2 linked regions of the Arabidopsis thaliana genome follow. The protein of the gene in region 1 interacts with the protein of each later gene in a pairwise test. Each region holds a gene or a part of one and is shown in the gene's direction. Other genes may lie near its edges.

The links. Proteins that work in one complex are often made in the same cells at the same time.
Region 2: the proteins of AGL82 (region 1) and AGL102 interact in a two-hybrid assay, tested with the Arabidopsis thaliana proteins (one large-scale study listed by BioGRID).

Annotation. Positions count from the first base shown.
Region 1 is NC_003076.8:23,776,028-23,783,949, forward strand, and holds AGL82 (AGAMOUS-like 82), read left to right. Parts: upstream 1-4,804; coding exon 4,805-5,689; downstream 5,690-7,922. Other genes in the region: AT5G58880 (LRR protein), read left to right, coding at 1-1,040, 1,125-2,929, 3,118-3,472, 3,567-3,574; AT5G58900 (Homeodomain-like transcriptional regulator), read right to left, coding at 7,248-7,668. UniProt on the Arabidopsis thaliana protein: Probable transcription factor that may function in the maintenance of the proper function of the central cell in pollen tube attraction.
Region 2 is NC_003070.9:17,568,874-17,576,905, forward strand, and holds AGL102 (AGAMOUS-like 102), read left to right. Parts: upstream 1-3,540; 5' UTR 3,541-3,577; coding exon 3,578-3,856; intron 3,857-4,010; coding exon 4,011-4,286; 3' UTR 4,287-4,500; downstream 4,501-8,032. Other genes in the region: AT1G47740 (PPPDE putative thiol peptidase family protein), read left to right, coding at 1-162; PEX11A (peroxin 11A), read right to left, coding at 515-1,261; AT1G47765 (F-box and associated interaction domains-containing protein), read right to left, coding at 6,033-6,827, 6,857-7,219.

The DNA of each region.
Region 1 (7,922 bases):
CATGAGCATCAAATTCATGATAAACCACCCGGTTTTGTCAGGGGTTTCAATGTTTTTACTCGTGCTATACATTTTCCTCCCTTCTCTGTTCTTCTTCTTGATCTATACATCACCGGTTCTTGCATGTGCTCTAGTGTATGCCCGAGAAAAGCTAGGGTTAAGATTCTCAAGTTCGTATTCAGAGCCAAAGAAGAGTTGTGGAGGAGAAAAGAGATGCCATTTAAAACAACAACGAAGTGTTAGACGAAATGCTCGAATGAAAGTTGAAGAATGGGATTCACAGACAAGCGAAGAAGAGAAAGACAAAGTTATCTTGACTTCTCTTTACAATGATCTCCTTGGTCGTACTCCTCAATTCGAAGAGTCTCCAAAAGCTTTAGAAACCAATGTAGTAGAGGAAGAAGAAGACAAAGAGAAGGAGTTTCTTGGAGAGGGAGTTTCTCGTGATTTGGGTCATCTCAACGTTGAAGAACCAATGGTTTGCAACTGTGAGATCAAATATGGAGAATCAGATGGTAAAGTAGAGATGAAACAGGAGATGAGTAATGCTAATGAGCATGGGATTTCAGAGATTGAGAGAAATAAGAGACTAGAGTCTTTAATCGCTAGAAGAAGAGCGAGGAGACGCTTTAGACTAGCTTTAGATCAAAAGAATAAGCTTCAAGCTGAAGAAACAACTAGCCCTAGACAGAACAACACCAACAACCTTCACGTTACGGTTTCGAGGAACTCACTTGAAAAACGTCGAAATAATTCATCAGATGGTACTACTGTTAAAGGATTACAGATTCCAGGCTCAGCTCCTTCTGTGATGTTACAAGGAAGAAACCCTTTTGACATTCCTTATGATCCTCAAGAAGAAAGACCTAATCTTACTGGAGATAGCTTTGATCAAGAGTTTTCATTGTTTAATCAAAAAGATTTGTTCTTTTGTCGTCATGAGAGCTTCTGTCGTTTTTCTCTGTTCTCACCAGAACATGTTCAGTGTATGAACAGCCCAGTTTCTGCTTCAGACATTTCAACTACTAGGAAACGTTTAGGTTATATCTCTAACATTTTCTGGTAATTAAATTTTGGTGTTTGTATTTTCTCTGTGAATATTAATGTACTTGTTTTGTCTACAGATTTGGAGAATGAATATATTGATCATACTGAACAAAATCTCCCATTAAATGGAAAAGAAGCTACAATAGAAGACGATGATAAAAGCGTTGTGAGTCGAAAAAGCGAAGAAAAAGAGGTAGAAATGAATGATGAGACAGATTCAAACAAAGAAGAATGTGATGATTCAAGTTGTTCAGAAGAAAGTGAGTCAGAACTATGCCGTTTAAACAAAGCGGAGCTCAGGGAAGCTATATGCCAATCCATGGACAACAATCCCGGTTATCTTGTGAATCAAGCAAGAAATAGTATTCCAAGCACATTACCTAGAGGTATAGTAGCGCCAAGACTAGATGATAACAACATGTTTTACGCTCGCAAATGTGGAAATTCGCACAGTCGAACATTTTCAGTTGCCTCGGATATGCAAGTTGAGGTTTCAGAGATTGGTTCACCTCCTACAACAGTTGATTGGCTTGATGACTGGTCTACTGGTGGTGAATCTTACATTTATGATACAGATATTGACAGAGAAATCGTCCGCGATGAAGAATCACGTAAGAGGATGTCTCATCAATATGAATCAAGAAGTGGAATAGGATCAAAAGAGGAGAATAGTGAGCCAAGTACTAAACCTGAGGCCAAACCAGATCAGGATTGTGTGGTAGATGAAGACCTTATAACAGTTGATGATATGTCATTGTTAGATAGAAGAACCCAAAGTGAAGAGATTTTTGAGCAGACACCTTCTAGTTCCAGTGATGTGTCCAAGCCTACAAGTTCTGGGAGATTTGAAGGTATGTTGTTCCATACAAGTGCCTCATTGTCGTCTATAACAGAAGAACCTGAAACAATCTTGGATTCGATCGATGGCGTCAACTCGGAGATTATGAATAGTTTGACTGGAGAATTAACTGACCAGAGACCTCTGACTAGTCTTGATTTATCCATGGAGAATTTGATAGATGAAGAAGTTGCTGATATGCAACAAATAGAAAATGATGATCTTTGTGGATCTCCTAAGATTATTGATTTTGATATCATTGATCATCAGCAGACAGATCAAACGTCGGATAGCATTCAAGGAGAACATGAGGAAACTAAGAGCTTCTTGGATGCTTCTTTGGACACACCCTTTATAGAATCATTTGAGAGAGAGGTACAAGAAGAAGAAGAATCAAACTTAGACAAGTCTACTGAGGAAACAACAAAAGAAACAGAAAGTGATTTGAAGAGTTCTCCGGGACAAGTTTCTACAGAATTACTAGAAAGTGTGGTAAGGGAAGAGAATGGTCAGGAATTAGTCAAAAGTGCTGATGAGAAAGCAATGCTAGTAGAGGAAGAGAAGACTCATAATGTCTTGGAAGCATCTTCGAGCAATGCTCATACACAGTTGGTTGATTTAGACTATGGAAACGCAGAAAATTCTAGTGATGTGATACTTCTGCAAGTCCAAGATAGTCATAAGTCACCACTAGATGAGTCAGTTGATCAGGAGATCTCTAAGGAAGTAGAAAAAACAGAGTTATTAAAAGATTTTTGTGGTGAATCAACCCAAGAATACAAAAATAGAGGAAATGTTGAGGCCTGTGGAAACGCAGAAAATGCTAGTGATGTGTTACTTCTGCAAGTCCAAGATGGTAATAACTCACCACTAGATGAGTCAACTGATCAGGAGATTTCTAAGGAAGAAGAAAAAACAGAGGTATTGAAAGATTTTAATGATGAAACGCCCCAAGGATACAAAAATAGAGCCAATGTTGAGGAAGAATCAGTAGTTTTAGCTGACACTCAAAACTCACAAGATTCACAAACATGGACTCAACAGGTTTCACCTTCTATTCTAATCATCTTTGACATTTTAGACAAATCTGACTCCACCAATGATTCACTGAATATGTGATTATCCATAACCATTTACTAAGATAATAAATTTTACTAGCTTCTTCCTCTGTTGTTGGTTCTTGATTTGAAGTTTTAGTAATTGCTTTTGACACTTTTGTTTTTATTGAATAGTGTGGTATAGATTCTTCCCAAGGGATATCACCAAGAACATTGGAGATCACCCAGCAACTAGAGCAAGACGATGTTATTGCCTCTTCCTCAAACACCGTCTCTCAAGATATCAATAAAGATATTACCGCGGCAGTAGCCAATGACTTAGCTGCTAGTGAGAGGAATGATGAAGTGATTCTGAAACTTGATGAGCAAGTTGGAGAAGCTATGGAAAAGGAACTAGAGCTTAATTTAGAATCACTGCACCATAATATTGGTTTAGTCGGTAGAGAAGACGATGAAGAATCCAAGAAAGTAATAGAGGAAATGCAAAATGCGGAGATCCAAACAACAAAACACGAAAACAGAGTCTTAGGTTAGTCGTAATTCAAAAATGGAGAAGAAAGCATAGATGATCAGAAAAGTGTTTGATATTCCTATGTTATAACCAAATGCTTACTATTTTGCAGAAAATTAACACATTGATGATACTAACACACAGAATCATGATGACGAAAACAAGTAACGCTGCACATAAGGTACGGTACGCCACAAGGAAAATGTGTTAAGAATTCTTTTTGATCCATAACAGGTGAAACATTGTGTTGTATCATTATTTAATGGACTTTTTGTTTAATTATACAACTTGTAAAGGCAACTCATTCTTTTGTAATATACTGTATAGAGATGGATAAATCTTTTGAATATATACTCACAGAAGAACTACTAGCATTCATTTCTCTTCTTTTCTTCTTTGTTTTAATGTTAAGATTATATTAGCGAAACATATTACAACCTAAAGCTACCCATATCCATAAAAAACGAATCGAATCGAGAAAGTTTTTCGGCATACAACGGATAAGTAGTACAACAACGGCCCTAAGAGCTGCCGGCGTTAAAGGTGACTATTATATAACAAGATTACAATAAGTGTATAAATATTAAACCGTCTAACTAATAAGGAAAGAAATAAATTTAACTGTGTTTAACATTTTTGTCTTTCTTGGTAAGCATCTTCAAGTTAGTATATTTTCCCTTTTGGCAAACTAAATATTCCCAATTTAATTCTTCTTTCCTAAACTTTCATGATCATTTAAATGTTCATATCTCGTGATCTTTGACAACCTTCCATAAACACAAACCTAATCAAGCTCAATATATAAAATCTCGCATATATTAGCTTGATTCACCCTTATTCCGACAGAAGCTCCAAAAAATCGGTTTTGGTATAAAATCTCATTGAAACTTTTGCTTTGATATTCAAGTAAGGATACTATCTTTTCCATAAACAATTTCTACATTTGTTCATTAATTCTGCTCTGGCTCTAAGGTATTTCATGTTTCATTTGTTCTGTTGTGGGATTGATTTCGTTTTGAGGGTGTCGAGAATTAGCTAGCTCCTACTTCTCGGATTTTGACTATTGGCTTTGCGTTTTCTCATTTATTCGTGAGTGTAATTTTAAAATTCTTTCGCTCTATCCTATGGTTTGTGTGGGGATTGAGGCAGCATAGAAAAAACGCCTTTAATTTGGGTTGTTTTGATCATAATTTGAGTGTTTATAGACCAACTATTCACAAAACGCCTATAAACAAAGTATTTTACAAAACATATCAATTCAATTTATTTGTACTTTTGTTTTTGGGAAAAAGGTTTATATGTTTATATGTTTTTTTTTGTAATATATAACAATAACTCAGGTTACAAAGGATGGTTCCGAAAGTGGTCGACCTACAAAGGATAGCGAACGATAAGACAAGGATAACAACTTACAAGAAGAGGAAAGCTAGTCTTTACAAGAAGGCACAAGAGTTCTCAACTCTCTGCGGCGTCGAGACATGTCTCATCGTCTACGGTCCCACGAAGGCTACCGATGTGGTGATTTCCGAGCCAGAGATATGGCCGAAGGACGAGACCAAAGTCAGGGCCATCATACGCAAGTACAAAGACACAGTGTCGACCAGCTGCAGGAAAGAAACCAACGTGGAGACTTTCGTCAACGATGTAGGGAAAGGAAACGAGGTGGTGACTAAAAAGAGAGTGAAGCGTGAGAATAAGTATTCTAGTTGGGAGGAGAAGCTAGACAAGTGTTCACGAGAGCAACTACATGGGATTTTCTGTGCCGTGGATAGCAAGTTAAATGAAGCTGTAACGAGACAGGAGCGTAGTATGTTTAGGGTTAATCATCAAGCCATGGACACACCATTCCCGCAGAATTTAATGGACCAACAATTCATGCCACAGTATTTTCATGAGCAGCCACAGTTTCAAGGCTTCCCTAATAATTTCAATAATATGGGTTTCTCGTTGATTTCACCTCATGATGGTCAGATTCAAATGGACCCAAATCTCATGGAGAAGTGGACCGACTTGGCTTTGACTCAAAGCTTGATGATGTCAAAGGGAAACGATGGTACTCAATTCATGCAGAGGCAAGAACAACCATACTATAATCGTGAACAGGTTGTATCGAGGTCTGCAGGTTTCAATGTTAACCCGTTTATGGGATATCAAGTCCCGTTTAATATTCCTAATTGGAGATTATCGGGAAATCAAGTTGAAAATTGGGAGCTTTCAGGGAAGAAAACGATATGATTTGAATTACGGAGCTTTATTAGTTTTTAGGGTTTTATAGTTTTGTTTCTGTTGGGGTTTTTAATTTTTTTTTGTGTATGATGGCTTGACATGCAAAAGTCAAGTGTTTTTTTTTTGACATAACATCATCTTTTTACATTTTATACAAGTTTCGGTTATACGTAAAGTTTTCTTTAAACACTCAGAAAATAATGTACCACTTATTTTATTATATTATCCTTGGTTTTTATATGATCATCTCCCAAATTGTCCCAAAAAACAAAATCTATAAGAACTAGTTAAGATGAATTAATTAATCATTTTACTTTCCGTGTCGAGTTTTAATTGGGATGGTAAGACATTGACAACCCTAACCACTAGACTATAAATCTTGCAACTGAGTAATTTATTTTTGTAAAAGCTTTTTTAAAAGAAAATATCTTTTTTAATCTTTGTTGATTATTCAATTACTTGATAGCTTTTGTTCATTGTTTTAAAAGCTAATTAATAATTTGTACCTTTTTGTTGATTGAATTCCAAAATTCTTTGGTTATACCAAAAAAACAAAATACGTATAGTGTCTACTGTCCTACAGACTATCTATAGCGTGTCTAGAAAAAGGAAAAAATAAAAGAAAAAATTAAGGACTATAAAGTTTAATTAGTTGCACTGTTCTCAAACATTGTCCGTTGTTATAACTTCAAGTGGTTGTTGAAAGAATAGTTTGGTTGATTGAGACGAACAACGAATAATGCCATATTGTGATCTATACATTATTCAAACATTACACGACAAATATTGGATATTTAAGTTAGAGATGGCCAACTTTGTGTCTTTGAACCTTTTTCCCTGCAACTTGTATTACAAACATATTTTTTTAATTTTTTCCCTCAACAACTAACACTGCACAATATCGGATTTAATATTTTTTTTATGCATCATACTATATAATATGATAATGCTGATATGAATTAGACTATTGTTGTGTTTCTCAAAAGGGGTTATTCACAACCACCATTTGCATATTTGGCACTGTTTAGGATTTGTTTAAGCACTTCTTACATCTGCTAATTCGATCGGGTTTGTCTATCGTACACAACACATATGATGATGTTTTGTTAGGTTTAGTCTCGGTTTACGCTTCAAGCATGTTCATGAATCTTAAACCGCTGATGAACTTGTGTGTATTAGATGTGAAGCTGTGACAGCCCATTTCGTATCGGTGGTCCAGAAGTGAAGTGGATGAGTAGTTGGAGTTATGTTGTATATATGCGTATAACGTAAGCTGTTAAAGACGATATAATTTGGCTTCACTTGTATATCGTTTTAATTTGGCATCACCTATCTTTCATTTTGTCACACCACTTGTTAATTTGCAACTTGCAACCATTTGAAACTTAACTAACAATTTTACTCAAAGATAACTTAGGCACTGTCAAGAGACTTTTATTAACTATTTCAATTTGGAATTAAAACAATGGACGTTTATTATACAATTGCCAAATATGATTGTTTCGTCCATATGAAAAATTAAGAATTTAACTTACACTTTTTAATTAGAGAGATGGATCTTCATTAGCTATAGTTGAAACATTGTGTTTTGGGCGTCATAGCAAGAATCTGCATTGTTATACCCTCCAATCATAACCTGGCCGTATGAATGAACGCCACTAATAGCGTTTCCAATCGTTATATTGAAAGCGTCTGCCTGTGTTCCATTGTTGTCCGTTTGGTTCCAAGGAAACGCGGTTAGCCTTGAACGCTGATCTCCAACAACAATGGAGCTCTTATTGGTCTCCAAAGAAGCCTCCTCTTCGAGATTTACGGTGGTTATGTCGTGAATGCTTGCTCGTCTCTTGTCCTTGCCGCCGGAAAGTTGCCGGATGAAGTACTTTTGGGCGTGGCTAGCTACTTGTGTTGGCGTTCGCGTTATCACAAAGTTCCGAGATATGTTTCTCCAATCTCCTTTCCCATATTTCTTCAAACCCATTAGAAATAGCCTGAATTGTGACAAATATGGAATCAAATATATCTACATACAATCTTGACCCAAATAAATTGTTCTTTGTAGGTTTGATGCGTTATATATGTGATTAGGCAAGATTTTGCAGCTAAACAGTGTTGCATAAATCATACTACGATTATGCAATGCATTTGTTCAAACAAATTAGAAATAGCCCGATTGTGAGAAATATCTAATCTAAGATATTTTCATAAAGTTATATACAACCACAGTGTTATACATTTATACTAT
Region 2 (8,032 bases), on another chromosome or scaffold:
AGAAGTCTTAGAAGCTCATTCAGCTGTTTATCATCCATCTCCATGAGACAAAAACAGCTTTCAACATCATCATTGTTCCTACAATCACCTCTCAGAGGCTGCTTACCTCCTTGGCAACTCAAACGCTCAAAATCTAACAGCAGCTCCTTGAAAGAAAGGTAGACATTCCAACAAAAACCATTGCGGTCTCTCATTCGTTTCGTTAGCAACACAAACCACGATTTATCCTTCTTCTATCTTTGTAATGGAGTTCGAAAACAGATTTCCCGCGCCATCGCTTTTCATTTGATTTTAACAGGCTTTCATAAGCCATTCTTCATCTTCTTTCTGTTTGTATTGCTTCCAAATTTGAATCTTTTCTCATTTTCAAAATCATGTATTGCATCAACGCTGTTTATATCTAAACTAGCTCTCTTAGTTCAAACCACCGAAGAATCAAAACGAAACCTTTATTCGATAAGCAAATACTATAATTCAATCGAAAAACGAACGATGAACATCATCATCATGATCATCAACAAGAGATCCAGTTCTTATGAGTACTAACAATAGCAGAAAACAAACCTGCAGAAGATATCACATTAGGAGCCGATAACACTCCCTTACCATCACGAATATCAGCAATCGTCATCAAACCATCAGCAAGATCCTGCAAAATAGATAAAACCTTCAATGTCTTCTTCTCCTTAATCATCTTCATCTTCTCATCTTCACCATCACAAGCTAATCCTCTCGAAACCGAGATCTCGATCGTCGAAGCAACACAACTCTCTTCATCATTCAATTTCCTCAAATCCCTAATCTTAATCGAAACACTTCCTACATAACCAACCAATTCAGCCCAAGCACTAATCTTCTGAAGCCATTTCGAATGTTTCGCATCGATCAGTCCTGATTTCGTTAACCATATGAATTGTTCAACGAAATAGTATAATCCTTCACCACCGTACGCGATTATGAGTAAGACGAGCTCGTGATTTGAATCCCATCGTGAGGATCTTAATGCGTTGATGTCTTGTACGAATTTTCCGAGACGGAAGGCTTTGCGACTGACTCCGACGCTTGATTCGAAGCTTTTGAGTCGGGGGATTATGGATCTGGTTTCTGGGATTAGTGATGATGCGAGGATGATTTTTGTTGCGTAACGAGAGATTTTCAGGAGTTTGTCTACACCATCTCTTTTGGAGAGATATGTTTCGAGATGATTTAGGAAATCTCTGTCTTTTGGTTTGGTGATTTTCTCTGGAGCTTTCGTAGCCATTGGAGGAGATGGAGCTTTTTCAATTGTTGTTCTTCACGGACGCGAAGATGAAGAAGAAGGAGAATTGAAGATAACCGGAATCGAGTTTGATTAATTGGTTTGCGTGCCATTCCCGAATTGTCCGGTTTAATTAATGCGGCCGTGGAAAATGTATAAAATTGGTTTGATCTATTTTTCGCAAACAGCTTGAGAAGAAAGTTGGACTTTATTGATCTAGATACGAAAAAGGTCAATACATTGGCTGCATAGGGACCTTATTATTATATCTTCCTTTGACCTACTAGGGTCGACTCAAAAATGAAGGTGGACTGATCGGTCCCAAGTATATATAGACCTATCGGTCTCTGATTGTCTGGATCAGTTTCCACACCAGTTTCATCTGATTGACATGTCTTAAGTAGATTGGCCATAACGTCTTATTTCACTGTTAGATTTTCTTCAAATCACTTGGAAATAAAAGCAAAGATCATCACCTAGCTTGTATCACAATATGAGGAAGATATAACGGTGGAAAATCTTCCACATGACGCGAAACTCCAAACCCTTATACATGATCTCACATCTCCAAATGCGTGTTTGCATCCCAAAATGTTTTTTCCTCCATATCAATCTAAAACCTGTAAAGGATTAAAGAAAATCTTGAAACGCACTTTAACTCAATAAAAGACATGTTATCGGCTACATGTAAGGTTGTCATAATGCTCATGTTGTTCATCTCCAAAACGAGTTTGATAATGCATGATTTCGGTTAGACTATTCCCTTTACAATGCATGAATTTTCGATGATTTTTGAAGCCTTAGTCCATTGGTCTCGGATCGCCATGTCATTTGTCGTAGATTGCTAACTGATGTTGCCGGTAAAGTATTTTTGAATATATCCTCTAACGTTTCGTTGTCGAGTTGATTAATGTAGATATTTTTCATGGGTCTTCGGCTGAAAAACAGCTCAGTACGGAAAGTTGGTGCTCCAGCTAAAATTCCATGGAGTTAAATAGGGTCTCTAGATTTGCACTGAACTTGTTTTAGGGTTTTCGATTGCATGGTCGAATCACAGATCCATCCAACACCTCTGGTGTATCGGGTGAGGAATCTTCTAGTTGGATGTGGGTCCATCCAACACATCTTGTGCATCACATGAGGAATCTTCTAATTCGATATCCACATCAATTTATTTGACCTTTTGTAACACCCTGGTTTCACAAAATATGGTGGTGCATGCAGAGAAGTTTTAAAAATTTGATTTGACCACCTATATCATCAAATTGCACTTATTTTCAGTCAAACATCTGAAAAGAACTTCATAATTAAGCGTGCTTAAGTTAGAAAAATTACAGGGAATGACCTTCCAAGAAGTGATTGTCGCAACTGTATATGAGCGAGGATAAAACACGAGAAAATATAATGTGGTGATATGTAGGATCGGTAAACAAGCCTTTAAAGCCTCGTAAACGTAATGGATCGGCTATCGGGTAAGAGTGAGCCCGTGAGCCGAGAGAGGACGTGGGGTCACTAAGAAAGATGGAGGTCGGGGAGTTACAAACGGTATCAGAGCCAAACCCAGACGAATGTGGAGTTAAGAGGGTTAACAAAGTCGATTGTGACGGTCTTGATGCGCAACCAGGACGATACGATCTGCTAGAGGGATGAATTGTAACACTTTAGTTTCATGAAATATGGTGATGCATGTAGAAATGTTTAAAAGAATTGATTTTGACACCTATGTCTTTTGATGGGTGAATTTAGGAGAAGTGATTATTGTCGGATCCGTGTGAGTGAAAACAAAACATGAAATAATAAAATAAAAAACTCCTTTTAATTTAGAAAAAGTTGTTACCAAGTTTCATCAGTTTTTTATTTTCATTTTATTGATATGTCGTGGCTAGTGCGCATGTTTGACGCGTGTGAGTTTGCATTTTAAAATAAAATTTGTATATATGGAATGATATGTAGAGATACTAAATCTAATTTATAATTATTACAAAATTTGTATTTTTCCTAAATATTTTCTAATGAAAGATAAGCATTACAAAATTTATACTTTCTTCAGAAAATATATCTTAAGAATTTGTTTGGAATACCAACTCTTGACTATTATGATAAATTTGTGTAGTCAGAGTTATAAAGATATTTATGGTAGTAGTTAAAAGATAAATATATTTAAAAGGTAAATTCAAATATTTTAATAAAAAAAGGATAACAAAGATAAAAAATTATAATTAATGCGTTAAACCTACTTGAACCAATCCATCTATAAAATGGAGTAGAGTAGTAACAAAAACAACACCAACAACAAAAACATCTCTCTAAAACTAAGAAATGGGTCGTAGAAAAATAGAGATAAAATTTATTGAAGATAGCATCGAAAGGAAAGCGACGTTTTCAAGACGCCGAAATGGCATTTTTAAGAAGGCTGATGAACTCGCGAAGTTGTGTAATGTAGAGATTGCTGTCTTGGTCATCTCCCCCACTAATATACCATACACATACGGTTATCCATGCTTCAACGATGTGGTTGAGCGTATTCAAAATCCTAGTGCTTCGTCCAAACTCAGGAGTCTCATGAAAGAATTGGAACAAATCAAAGAGTTTCAGGAGGTATGTTTCCCATCATTAATATAATCTCATCCGTTAGTTTTCCTTCTTCTTCGTTCTCAACATATAGATTACAAAGATGGGTTTGCTATTATACACAGAATTAAATAATCATTATTTATTTTATATTATATAATATTTTTTTTGTCAATTTTAGGATTTGAGGAAGAAACAGCAAAGAAACCTTGAAAAGTCCAATATGAAAGAGAATGTAGATCTGAAATTGGAGGACTTAGTTGCTTTCAAGGCGAAACTCGAGGCCTATCAAGCAGGTTTAAAGAGGAAACATGTAGAGATGGAGGATTTGTCTTCTCCATCGATACTCTCAAAGAATACAAAGAATAAGATGATGAGGACCGAGTATTCGTCTGGACAGAGCAAAGGAATGTATGAGTTTCGGGCTTTCGGCCCAGGATTTCTTGGAACTATTTAGAACAATCGTCAAAATAAATATAAATATATAATTATTTATATCATATAAATCAATTACCGTTTATTTTTCTTTCCAAAAGTTTAAGGAATAAATTTTGGTTGCTTTAGTTTGAAGGAAGTTGTGTCCTCCATCTTGTTATCTTTTCAATCGGATTTTCGTAATGAAATGTTTTTTATATATAAATAATATACAATATATGTGATAATTTTGGAAAATATGTCAAAAAAATGTGAACTTTCAAATTTAGAACAAAAAAACATGAATTTTCGAAATGTCACTTAAATACCAAAGTTATTGTTGACTTTAGAATTAAATAGATAACTTTCGTTGATTTTGCCATTTCGGGTAAAACGTTACGTCAACTGACGAAAAAAATAACAGAATTAAGTCTTTTTTTTGTCATAAGATATTATTTAAGACTTAAACGAGCCAAAATTACGGGAAATTAACAGAATTAAGTCTTCGGTTATAAATTCTGTTAACTTATAAAACAACGTCGTTTCAATTTCTTTTTTTTTTTACAAGTTGAGGAATTGAACCCGCAACCTGTGAGATATAACAACTTTCCTTTACCGACTTAGCTCGCAGTTATTTATATGTTCTCAGAAACATACATATTTCTATAGGTTATAACAAAATGCCCAAATTAATAAAAATTTAGGGTTTCGATCCCCTTTTTCACAGTCTTCCCAATTTTAAAAGTTCTTTCCAAGAGGGAAGTCGATTGATGACGTATCCTCCGAAAATGATGAGTAAATCTAGAGAAAGCTTGATCAGAAGATGAGAAGATGGTGGATTCTTTAAAATCGTCGAGGTTTAGATCTTGATTCGCGATCTTTAGAGTGAGCCCCATAGAGATGTAGCCCGAATCGGAAGTTGATGCCATTGATGCGTTTATCGAGCTTTTGTTTAACCTATATAATTATCTATGTTAAGCAGTATGATGTTTTTAAACTAAGAACTTACTTCTAAGAAGCAAGAGAGAGGAGAGACTTTAGAATTTAGAGTGTTTTGTCTTTGAGAGCTTGAGAAATAATGAGAGGCTGGGTCTCTTTATATAGTAGAGGAAAATAGGATTTTGTGAGAATATTCTCAGGATATGCATGACATATTTTGAGACTATCCTAAGAATATTTTGAGACTATTCTGAGAATATTTCCATAAGATTCAACTCAGCAAGCCCAATAACTCACAAGCATGACGGTCCGCAAGCCCGACAGCCCTTGAGTCGACGATGGGACGTCCCGACAACCCGCAGCCCGGCTCATCCTAGTTCGGTTCGGTTCGATCAGGTTTGGCCCAAGTGTCCCACTTTACACCCTTATTTCTTATTCAATACAACTCCGTTTTTGACGTATGAGTATACCATTTTGTAGTACTCTTTACCCGCTTTCCAATGCACTAATGTCCCGATAATTCCGTTCAGCCGTTTGGTCGAAATTTGGCGGAAAAGTCACCGGAAAGGTTTTGTCAAAAAAGTTCCAACAGGTATATGCGTAATCTTGGTGCAATTCACTTATAGGGCCCAAAAAGATAAATAAAAGTCTTTAGAAAGATAAGGATCGAGTTACTACTACTAAATGATTGATGTTGAATTTGTGAAATGCTGTAGGGAATTGGCAAGGGAGGAAGATGACACGTGATAGAATCAAAGTAAGGGATGAGAACTTATAAGAAAAAAAAATCATAATTAAACTTGCAAAAATGATCATTCTAAAGGAAGAACAAAAAAGAAAAAAATTAAAATTATTGCAAAGACATTTGACTCTCAACGTGATCCAAGAAAGCACAGAACGCAAATATAGGTCCATATGGATCTCCATTATTGACCCTAGCTTGGTCGTCTGCAATTTCTTTAAGTTCGAATCTTCTAAAGGTTTTTTTCACCGGATCAAAAAATAAAATATAATCCATCTTTCGAAACGTGGAAGATACGAAAATAAATTCACCATCATGAGTGCAACCTTTTAGTTGGAAAAAGGTTCTTAATCTTTCATCAAAGTGACCAAAAGGTGCAAGAATATCTTTACTCGACCACTTGTCTTTTTTTGCGTCCTCCAAAATGCACAATGCTATGTAATCATCCTTCGTGGTACGTTTTTCAACACAAGCTATCCTCCCCTCATAAGTTATGAGAATTTCCCTATAAATATCCGCATGTAATTTTATCATGTCGAATTTTTCAGATCTGACATCAAAACACATTAAAACCCAAGCATGTGTATGATAAACTTGAGCTATATAATATACAACCCCCTTGATGCATCGACCAGAACTCTGATAGTCAGAACAATGCTTATGGTACGTTTTTACCGTTATCCATGAGAATTCTTGAGCTGGTCCTAATGTTAACACTTGACATACATCAGAACTTCTTCTAAAAGGCAAGCACATTACTTTGTGTTTACCTTCAACTGGATCGTATCCTAGAAAAACTATTATATTATTCCAGCTTAATCTGGGTATGGGTAAAGTTATCAACTGTCTCTTGCTAGGGTTCCAAACTATCGGCATTTTTGATGTCTTAAAGCAGATCAAGCCCTGGACAGATTCCGTAGAGGAATAAATACTACATCCTTCTGGTAATTCCATATGATAACGATAAAGAGCTGAGAAGAAGAGTAAGACCTTTTAGAATTCTGAAGTGAATGAAGATGTTGCGGAATTGAGGACACAAACAACTTGTCATTTTCTATGAAGCAAACTAAAAGACTCGGCCGTGGGGACCGAGTTTCGAACAAGTTGATGAAATATGGATCGGTGGTGATTGATAACCAAAGCTTCGACACACAACGAAACCTCGCAATAGATTTCTCAGGTAGCCTTAAGAGTATCTCCGAGGTTAGATCCAGAGGAAGGGACGAAGCTGATTTTGATTGTGTTCTTTTACTTTTCGAGACTACTTTTCTCTTCTTCTGTTTTTGTTGCTCCATCTTTTGTAGTCAAAACCCTAATTTGTTCAGGCTGTGTTGCTTTCAACCTTTTCTCAATATATACATATATATATATATATATACGTACATCCTATGCATTAGGTTTTATTTTCTACTTTTATTATTTATTTGAAGATCTTATATGATAAATAAGGGTTTGTTCAAAAAAAAAAAAAAAATGATAAATAAGGGTTCTCCTTCAAACTTATACTTTGAGAAGTTGACATGTAGCACTTTTCCTTTTGACATTTGTCATTTCTTTTATACTTAAATCCAACATTTATTTTTATCTGATTTGATTGTATCATTATATATTAAAAAATTCAAAAGTTTTAAATCAAAAAGAAATATACAATGATTTGTTTTCAATATATTTAATATCATTATATTGAATATCTATGAGAGACACATTCTTTGTTATATTTATAATAAAACAAACTTAATATTAAGTAAATTTATAAATAATTACTTTAAAACATATCTTATATTCTAATAGTTTTAGCAAACTATTTTGCAATGTCTTTTTAGTAATTTTGTTTTTAATGATTTGTCATTTATTGATATTCAAATACAGAGAATTTAAATTATGATTTCACAAAAACAATTATATGTATAAGATATCAAAGAAGCAATTTCCTTTGGCATCATTATATTTTAATTTGAATTGACTTTGTAATAAATACAAAATATAATGTGAAGAAGAAAAAAAAAAACAAAAATAATAAATATTTATAACATAAAAAGATATAAAAACAGTAAAAACTAATGAGAATGAAAAATATTAATTTTAATTTTTAATCAACTAACTGAACA